2 linked regions of the Arabidopsis thaliana genome follow. The protein of the gene in region 2 interacts with the protein of the main gene of each other region in a biochemical or structural test. Each region holds a gene or a part of one and is shown on either strand. Other genes may lie near its edges.

Region 1 (4,178 bases), on a different chromosome or scaffold from region 2:
TGATGTTTCGATGTGTTGGTAGAATCTGATCGTGTTCTTAGTCGAGAGTGGTTGATTTGCCTCATAAATTTGTTTGATGCTGTGGTTAAATCCATATTTAGTTGGTACTTCGGTTTTCCCTTTGCTTGAGTTGCTGATTTTTGTCTCTTCCGATTCGATAGGTCAGATTGTTTTTTTACTTCTACTGAAGTTTCCAGAGGATAATCAGTTTTTGATACTTGTGAATCTGTATCTCTGTTGTCTGCTGGGTCTTATGTGTGCTGATGTCATATTGAATTTAAGACTTTGCGTTTACGCGAGCTCATAAATTCCAATTTATTCCTTAGCAAGTCTCAGACGCCACCACCACCTTTTGGTCAGATCACACAAAATCTATCTATAGTGGTCAATTCTTTTTCCTTTCGTCGTATATAGTCTCTGATGCTATCCTAAGTTGACTTGGTATACTTGGATTAAGCTGTGAAGCAACATGTTCATGTTGCGTACTAATCTCACCAATCATTGAATCAAAATGATTAAAAAAAAATGAACTATGTGTGTGTAGGGCGTCAGAGTACCCAGAGGAGTATGATGGTGGCTACGTTCAGATGAGATTATCTTACAGCCCGGCGGCTCATCTCTTTCTCTTCCTTCTTCAGTGGACTGATTGTCATTTCGCTGGCGCTTTGGGCTTGCTTAGGATCCTTATTTATAAGGTCTCTTATTAATTTTCCTGCTGTTTTATTGCTACTGGATCTTCAAGATCACAATGTTCTTGTCTGCCTGATATGTGATTCTCTGTTTTTTATTTATAGGCATATGTTGATGGGAAGACCACAATGTCGCTACATGAACGCAAAACTAGTATCAGAGAATTCTATGGTAATCTGTTAATCACTTATTCTCTCTTAATCTAAAGGTATAAGATTAGACCAGACGATATGTTTTTTTCTGACTAGCAATGGATGTTGTTGGGCAGATGTGTTGTTTCCTTCGCTATTGCAACTTCATGGAGGGATCACCGATGTAGAAGAAAGGAAACAGAAGGAGATATGCGACAAAAGATACCGTAAAAAGGACAGAACAGATAAAGGAAAGATGTCGGAGATCGATTTGGAGAGGGAAGAAGAGTGTGGAATCTGCTTGGAGATTCGAAACAAAGTTGTTCTTCCTACGTGCAATCACTCCATGTGTATAAACTGCTACAGAAACTGGTATATAAAGCTTTTCCTTCTTTTCACTCACTCTCACCATTCATCAGCCTTTTTCTTACAAGTTATAGAATCTCTTGTTTGGAATAGGCGTGCACGGTCACAGTCGTGCCCGTTCTGTCGAGGCAGCTTGAAAAGAGTGAATTCTGGTGATCTATGGATATACACTTGTAGCGCCGAGATTGCAGATTTACCAGCGATTTACAAGGAGAATCTGAAGAGGTTGTTGATATACATTGACAAGTTGCCTCTCGTTACTTCTGATCCAAATCTTGTCCCTTATGCTCCTCTTCCTCGGTGAACATTACATTCTCTCTGTTTCTTGTTATGCACATAGCAATTTCTTTCAAACAAATTTCATCTATTTATGTCCACTTTGTATATAATATTTATGTGTTTTTAGTTGGTTTTTCATCTTTCTATAGTCTCAGATTTGGGTTTGTATATAACAACCATTGGTTATTGACATTTAGATCAAAAATTCGATATCATATTTGCTGATTAAGGGTACTTAATCACATTTTGGTTCGTTTAAATTAGTATCTGTCTATCTGACTATGAATTACAGTAACCGATTGGTGTTTCAGTCAAACCGACTTGTTTTGATCGTTTTGGGGAGTAATTTGGTTTCGGTATGGATCGAATTGGCTGAACCGGAAACCAGCAATTTGAGTGAAGCACAAGACCGCAGTACACGTGGCTTCTTCTAACTGGGGTAAGAAATTATTTGACCCAATCAGATTGTACCTCATCTAGATTTTATTGCCAATGGACTTGAAACATCACCAGATAACGCAGAGTTTAATAGATAAGATTAGTAATCCTACTCACCGTCAGATGGATTTGTGAATCGATCCAACGGTCATAATCGTCTTTCCAAGATAGGCCAGCTCCGAAACTCACCTCCACGCATCTATAATCGTGTATCAAGAAACGGATCTTTCTTCTCTATCTTCTGAATATCACAAAACCCAATTAGCCGGAGATGGCCGCAACATCCGCCGCTGCTGCAGCTGCTTCTTCCATCATGGGTACTCGGGTGGCTCCCGGTATCCATCCCGGTTCAGGTCGGTTCACAGCCGTGTTCGGTTTCGGAAAGAAGAAGGCAGCTCCCAAAAAGAGTGCCAAAAAGACGGTGACTACGGACCGGCCTCTTTGGTACCCAGGCGCCATTTCTCCTGACTGGCTTGATGGTTCCTTGGTTGGAGATTACGGTTTTGATCCCTTCGGTTTAGGCAAACCGGCCGAGTATCTTCAATTCGATATCGATTCACTAGACCAGAATCTGGCTAAGAACTTGGCCGGAGACGTGATCGGAACCCGTACGGAAGCTGCCGACGCCAAATCGACGCCGTTTCAGCCGTACAGTGAGGTGTTCGGAATCCAGAGATTCAGGGAATGCGAACTCATCCACGGACGGTGGGCGATGCTCGCTACTCTCGGCGCTCTCTCCGTCGAATGGCTTACCGGCGTTACATGGCAAGACGCTGGCAAGGTAACGCCACTCCCTTCTCCACTTGGATAATCGGTTATAAGTTAGTTATTTCGAAGATGCTAATAAATTAGTATTCAAATAGTTGCGTTTGCGTTTGTTTGCGACTCAGATAGAAATGTATGTACAATTTAGTTGATTTAGCGTTTGCTTTGGCGTCTGTCTCTCTCTCTTTCTTACAGTTTGCGTTAGCATTGGACTGTTTGAGTTTCTGTTCAGTCAAGAATATTCAAGTCTAGTGTTCAATGAGTGATATTTAAATATTAGTTGAAATGTTGTTATTCAATCAGGTGGAGCTTGTAGATGGATCGTCCTACTTGGGGCAGCCATTACCTTTCTCGATCTCGACATTGATATGGATCGAGGTGTTAGTGATCGGCTACATCGAGTTCCAGCGCAACGCCGAGCTTGATTCGGAGAAGCGTTTATACCCCGGAGGCAAGTTCTTTGACCCGCTAGGTTTAGCGGCTGACCCGGAGAAGACTGCTCAACTTCAGTTAGCTGAGATCAAGCATGCACGTCTTGCGATGGTCGCCTTCTTGGGATTCGCGGTTCAAGCGGCTGCAACAGGTAAAGGTCCACTCAACAATTGGGCTACTCACCTCAGTGATCCACTCCACACCACCATCATCGATACCTTCTCCTCATCTTAAAATCATTATCATGTGAGATTCTATTTGTAACTTATGTAAAAACAGAGCTATGATGATACTGAATCGACTTTGGGCTTTTGCTTGTTTGGTTTATTTACATGTTTGGCCCATGACATTAAATTGGGCTTCTCCTTATTTACTATACCTACTCGTCGTACATTTTCAAAATGTATTTTTGTCGCATATACAGATTGGCCCAATAGCAGGAGTACAAGACCGACCCATTAGTTATGTTGTGATTATTTTTTCTTGATTTGGACAATGAAAAAGGAGAACCGTACAGAAAAACAAATAAGTCCACAGACAAAAAAAAAAAAAAAAGGATAGTCACACACCGCGTGGGATTTGGATGAACATGGGAGACTTGTCTTGTGAAGTCTCCTTGAAATTGATTCCGTGTCTCACTGTCACTGTTCCGTAATTTGGGAGGACATTGAATTATTATTTTTGTCGTTGATTATGACACATAACAAGCAGGTTCAATTACTAGTTTAGGAAAAAAAAAAAAGCAGGTTCAATTACTTGCTCGTATGCACTGAAGAAACAACCACAAAAAATGTTTTCAAACTATTGAACGTGGAGATTCGATGAATTGATTGTAATTCTAATATTCTTTTGAAGAAAAATATTCATTGAGGAATGAGGTTCGTCATAATCAATTATGAATATAGAATTGGCTGGTTCAACGATCAAAAATGGATAATCCGGACAATATAACAAAAATGATGACGTTAAGCAAAACATACAGTAATTTTATATAAAAAAATCATAACTGTATGAGTAATCTTTGTGACGTTACAAAATACTAATTTTAATTTTTTTGATAGTATGACTAATCTGTGT
Region 2 (6,180 bases):
GGGAGAAGTCAATCTTTGTGGTATACTGTATTTACTCACTACTCATACAAAATTGCAAATTAGTCTGATTTCGATTGGAATTACTTGTTGAGCGGTCAAATAACTTGACGTTCAAGAGAATACAGAACAAAATTCATACAAAACAGATATAAGGATTAGTGGTAGTGAAAAGAAGAATTTACATAAAGAATTATTTAAAAATATTGGGGCCAAAGGAATCATAACCTCTCATGCCACTAAACCACGAGCTAATTGATGTTGTTTCTTTTGTGGGGCTTTTTCTCTATTACTCTCCACTATTCGGTCCTTTATTTATTAAACAGAATCAATAAAATATACTCTATAGTCTTCAACAGTATGATATATTACAAATTTATAACACACAAAATCACACTATAGGTGATAAGATTTGCACTATTAATTGCAATGGAAAAATGTTCTAAGAATAATTATTTCTTACTAGAAACTATTGATCTTAAAGAAATAGTCTCTTGTGCAATTGAATGGTAGCTAGGGTATAACCAATTGAAACATTTTAAAATATGACTTGTGTATATTTTTTTCTTTAATATGTGTATATGATTATTTATCAATGAACATTTCAAAATAGCATTTTCTCGTTGGCTGAAATAATCAAGCTAATATTTTGCTTAAGTCATACAAATCTACTCATAAACTTGGTGGAAGAAGGCAGTGTAATGATGAAAAGGATGGAGTGTGTGACATGGAACATGATATAAAGGCTCATCTATGGCATATTATATGAAACTAAACTAATTAAAATCACATAAAAATGGAAAAAGAAGTGAGCAACATTATGGTTACACCTTAAAGTTTGTTATTGTAATTTGTAAAGTCACTTCTCTGTTCATTCCCCCACGCCTCTGCCTCGACAGTGAACATTGGATCAACCAAATTTTACAAAAGACCATTTCATATGCGATGCATATTATGACTAAATTGGGTCCCAATTATTTTGACCACACACCCCACCATATGAAATATTTGTATATCGGTTTGGAATAATTTCTCCCAAAATTCCTTTCAATATAATTGCCATTCTTTTGTAAAAGGTTTTGTTTTTTTTTTAAATAAAGTATTAATACAATACACAACAAAAACAAAACAAATTATCCCAAAATTCCAAACTTGATGTGATTATAGACTAGAATTTCTATTATGTTCGTTTTTATTAGTGTTGTCACTATATCACTAACTATATTCATATTCAGTTGCTTGTCAATTATTTTTTTTTGCCAGTCTTAGATTTATTATTTATTGCACTGTTACATAGACGATTCTACAACGGACAATTCCTTCCGACTCTTATTAGATCTAGTTGCTTGTCATCTAATATTTAAATTATTTTAAGAAATGTTATACAACTAATATTTAAATCATTTTAAGAAATGTTATACAACAATAGTATATAGCTAAATTTTTAAATGGAAGTTTATATAATACTACACTTTTTCTTCATTGAAATTTGTGAAACATCTCATAGATACAATTCCCATTTAGAAAATTAGCAGTGATCATAATTCTTTCTAAGGTTCAAAATCCCCACATGGAGCTTTAATGAATTAAAATTATGAAACCATTAGAAACAAATAGATATAGGACTAAATGAAACTGAAAACATATTTTTCTAAATATTAGAGTTTTATTCTATAAACTGAACTTAATTTTTTTGATTATCAAACAACATGTATTCTATTAGATTAATAATGTCACTTACACAAATCACTACAAGTCATGATCACAATTCCACAAAATCATAAGATTGATCATAACCATTTAATAAATCAATCATCTATTAGAAAAACATCATATGTAAAAAAAAACGATTCGACAAAGATGTTTTAAAAATAATAAGCATCAACAATTAATAAAACTTAATAAATTACCTAAAAGCAGCTTTTTCTTTTCTTCAAAAAAAGCCCTTTTTCTTCCTCTGCTTTAGCATCGTCTCTTTATCATCTAAATGTTTCAACTTACTTACTTCTCCTTCTCCATTCAAACTCAAAAAACCTCCCTCCAATGACTACTTCACCAATCCGGGTTCGGATCCGGACTCGGATCCAAATCTCCTTCATCTTCCTCCTTACCCATCTCTCACAATCTTCCTCCTCCGACCAATCTTCACTCAAAACCGACTCATTATCACTCCTCTCTTTCAAAACAATGATCCAAGATGATCCAAACAACATTCTCTCAAACTGGTCACCTCGTAAATCCCCTTGTCAATTCTCCGGCGTCACTTGTCTCGGAGGAAGAGTCACCGAGATTAATCTCTCCGGTAGTGGCCTCTCCGGAATCGTCTCCTTCAATGCTTTCACCTCTCTTGATTCTCTCTCTGTTCTCAAACTCTCAGAGAACTTCTTCGTCTTAAACTCAACCTCTCTTCTTCTTCTTCCTTTAACCCTAACTCATCTCGAACTCTCTTCCTCCGGTTTAATCGGAACCCTCCCTGAAAATTTCTTCTCCAAATACTCAAATCTTATTTCCATCACCCTCTCTTACAATAACTTCACCGGAAAGTTACCTAATGATCTTTTCTTAAGCAGCAAGAAACTCCAAACCCTTGATCTTTCTTACAACAACATTACCGGTCCAATCTCCGGTTTAACCATTCCTCTTTCTTCTTGCGTCTCCATGACCTATCTCGATTTCTCCGGTAACAGTATCTCCGGCTATATCTCTGACTCACTCATCAACTGCACCAACCTCAAAAGCTTGAATCTTTCTTACAACAACTTCGATGGGCAGATTCCAAAATCTTTCGGTGAGCTTAAACTCTTACAAAGTTTGGATCTTTCTCATAACCGACTCACCGGTTGGATCCCGCCGGAGATCGGAGATACTTGCCGGTCATTACAAAACCTCCGGCTTTCTTACAACAACTTCACTGGTGTGATCCCTGAGTCGTTGTCCTCATGTTCTTGGCTACAAAGTCTTGACCTTTCAAACAACAACATCTCCGGTCCGTTTCCGAACACTATCCTCCGGAGTTTTGGATCTCTTCAAATCTTACTTCTCAGCAACAACTTAATCTCCGGTGACTTTCCGACTTCAATCTCTGCTTGTAAGAGCTTGAGAATCGCTGACTTCAGCTCGAATCGATTCTCCGGTGTGATTCCACCGGATTTATGTCCCGGAGCAGCTTCATTAGAAGAGCTAAGACTCCCGGATAATCTCGTCACCGGAGAGATTCCACCGGCGATATCTCAATGCTCTGAGCTACGAACGATTGATCTCAGTCTCAATTATCTCAACGGTACAATCCCACCGGAGATCGGAAACCTCCAGAAACTCGAGCAATTCATAGCTTGGTACAACAACATCGCCGGAGAAATCCCACCGGAGATCGGAAAACTACAAAACCTAAAAGATTTGATCCTCAACAACAATCAACTCACCGGAGAAATCCCACCGGAATTTTTCAATTGCAGTAACATCGAATGGGTCTCATTCACAAGCAACAGATTAACCGGAGAAGTGCCTAAAGATTTCGGAATCCTTTCCCGGTTAGCCGTTCTTCAGCTCGGTAACAACAATTTCACCGGAGAAATCCCACCGGAGCTAGGAAAATGCACAACTCTGGTTTGGCTTGATCTTAACACAAACCACTTAACCGGTGAAATCCCTCCCCGGTTAGGTCGTCAACCCGGTTCAAAAGCACTTTCCGGTTTACTCTCAGGAAACACAATGGCTTTTGTTAGAAACGTTGGAAACTCATGTAAAGGTGTTGGAGGTTTGGTTGAGTTCTCAGGGATCAGACCAGAGAGGCTTCTTCAGATTCCATCTCTTAAAAGCTGTGACTTCACAAGAATGTATTCAGGTCCAATTTTGAGTCTATTCACAAGATATCAAACCATTGAGTATCTTGATCTTTCTTATAATCAGCTTAGAGGTAAAATCCCTGATGAGATTGGAGAAATGATTGCTCTTCAAGTTCTTGAGCTTTCTCATAATCAACTCTCCGGCGAGATTCCGTTTACGATTGGTCAGCTCAAGAATCTCGGTGTTTTCGATGCTTCGGATAATCGGTTGCAGGGTCAAATCCCTGAATCTTTCTCGAATTTGTCTTTCTTGGTGCAGATTGATTTGTCGAATAACGAGTTAACTGGTCCGATTCCTCAGAGAGGTCAGTTAAGCACGCTTCCGGCGACTCAGTACGCGAATAATCCGGGGCTTTGCGGTGTTCCTTTACCGGAATGTAAGAATGGAAACAATCAGCTTCCTGCTGGAACAGAGGAAGGGAAACGTGCTAAGCACGGAACTAGGGCAGCTTCTTGGGCGAATAGCATTGTTTTGGGAGTGTTGATTTCCGCTGCTTCGGTTTGTATTTTAATCGTTTGGGCGATTGCGGTTCGTGCGAGGAGGAGAGATGCGGATGATGCGAAGATGCTTCACAGTTTGCAGGCGGTTAATTCCGCCACTACATGGAAGATAGAGAAGGAGAAAGAGCCGTTGAGTATTAATGTAGCGACGTTTCAGCGACAGTTGAGAAAGCTTAAGTTTTCGCAGCTTATCGAGGCGACAAACGGATTCTCAGCCGCGAGTATGATCGGACACGGCGGATTCGGTGAGGTTTTTAAGGCGACGCTTAAAGACGGGTCTTCCGTGGCGATCAAGAAGCTCATTAGACTTAGTTGTCAAGGAGATCGAGAGTTCATGGCAGAAATGGAAACCTTAGGGAAGATCAAACACCGAAACCTCGTACCGCTCTTGGGATACTGTAAAATCGGGGAAGAGAGATTGCTTGTTTACGAGTTTATGCAATACGGAAGCCTCGAGGAGGTGCTTCACGGACCAAGAACAGGCGAAAAACGGAGGATTTTAGGTTGGGAAGAGAGGAAAAAGATTGCAAAAGGAGCAGCAAAAGGACTTTGTTTCTTGCATCACAATTGTATCCCTCACATAATCCACCGCGACATGAAATCGAGCAACGTGCTTCTCGATCAAGACATGGAAGCAAGAGTTTCAGATTTCGGAATGGCGAGACTGATCAGCGCATTAGACACACATTTGAGTGTAAGTACCTTGGCAGGCACGCCAGGTTACGTACCACCAGAGTATTACCAAAGTTTCAGATGTACCGCAAAAGGCGACGTGTACTCAATCGGAGTAGTGATGCTCGAGATCTTAAGCGGGAAAAGACCAACGGATAAAGAAGAGTTTGGTGATACGAATTTAGTAGGTTGGTCGAAGATGAAGGCAAGAGAAGGGAAACACATGGAAGTGATTGATGAAGACCTTCTAAAAGAAGGTTCTTCGGAGTCTCTGAATGAGAAAGAAGGTTTTGAAGGAGGAGTGATTGTGAAAGAAATGTTGAGGTATTTGGAGATAGCGTTACGGTGCGTTGACGATTTCCCATCAAAGAGACCTAATATGTTACAAGTTGTTGCTTCGTTGAGAGAACTTCGTGGAAGTGAAAATAATAGTCACAGTCACAGTAACAGCTTGTAACAACATGAAGATCTCTGTTTTTTTTTGTTTTTCTGGCTTTTTCAATGCATTTTTTTTTCCTGTGAGAATGTGTATGTGTGGTTGATCAATGATTAAAATTTCATGATGTATCAAGACTTAATTAATGTAATTTAAATTCTGATTCCTTTAATAAATAACTATGCAGATTATAACAAATCAGAGTCTTAGTTGGTGAATTGTTCTTTATTACCGAGTGTCGTTAGCTCAATTGGTAAAGACCGTAAACGAAGCTTAGAGAACGCCGATTTGAGTAACGCTTGAAACGAAACTAATATTACACGATGTGGTTTCGTGCATGAAAGGATTACCGACATTGGCCCAGAACTTCCTGGTATTAGAAAAAAAAAAAAAAAAAAATTGTTCTTTATTAAACGCTCGAATACACACGATTAGGCTTTGGATAGAGAACATACAAATGGGCTCAACAACTGAAGTTTCAAAATTATATTTGGGCCATAAAGAACTATTTAGAATATAGAAACATTAGGCCCATAATGACTCTTTCTCCTTCAGGCCTATGAACATCTAACACTATAAGACTATACATTCGTGAGTAGAATATTTTTTTTTGTGAGAATAGTATTTCAAACCACAAAAGAGAATATATTTCAATGTGTTACTTCATTAGTATGTGTGAATTTATACTTGTTGATGTGAATCAAGTAGGTGGTTGTCTAGTAATTTAGA

The links. The genes of interacting proteins can lie anywhere in the genome.
Region 1: the proteins of BRL2 (region 2) and LHCB4.1 form a complex in vitro, tested with the Arabidopsis thaliana proteins (one study listed by BioGRID).

What each region holds. Positions count from the first base shown.
Region 1 is NC_003076.8:206,909-211,086, forward strand, and holds LHCB4.1 (light harvesting complex photosystem II), read left to right. Parts: upstream 1-1,957; 5' UTR 1,958-2,175; coding exon 2,176-2,685; intron 2,686-2,972; coding exon 2,973-3,335; 3' UTR 3,336-3,640; downstream 3,641-4,178. Other genes in the region: AIRP2 (RING/U-box superfamily protein), read left to right, coding at 545-695, 795-861, 959-1,193, 1,281-1,491.
Region 2 is NC_003071.7:440,097-446,276, reverse strand, and holds BRL2 (BRI1-like 2), read left to right. Parts: upstream 1-1,952; 5' UTR 1,953-2,040; coding exon 2,041-5,472; 3' UTR 5,473-5,653; downstream 5,654-6,180. UniProt on the Arabidopsis thaliana protein: Receptor with a serine/threonine-protein kinase activity, which may transduce extracellular spatial and temporal signals into downstream cell differentiation responses in provascular and procambial cells.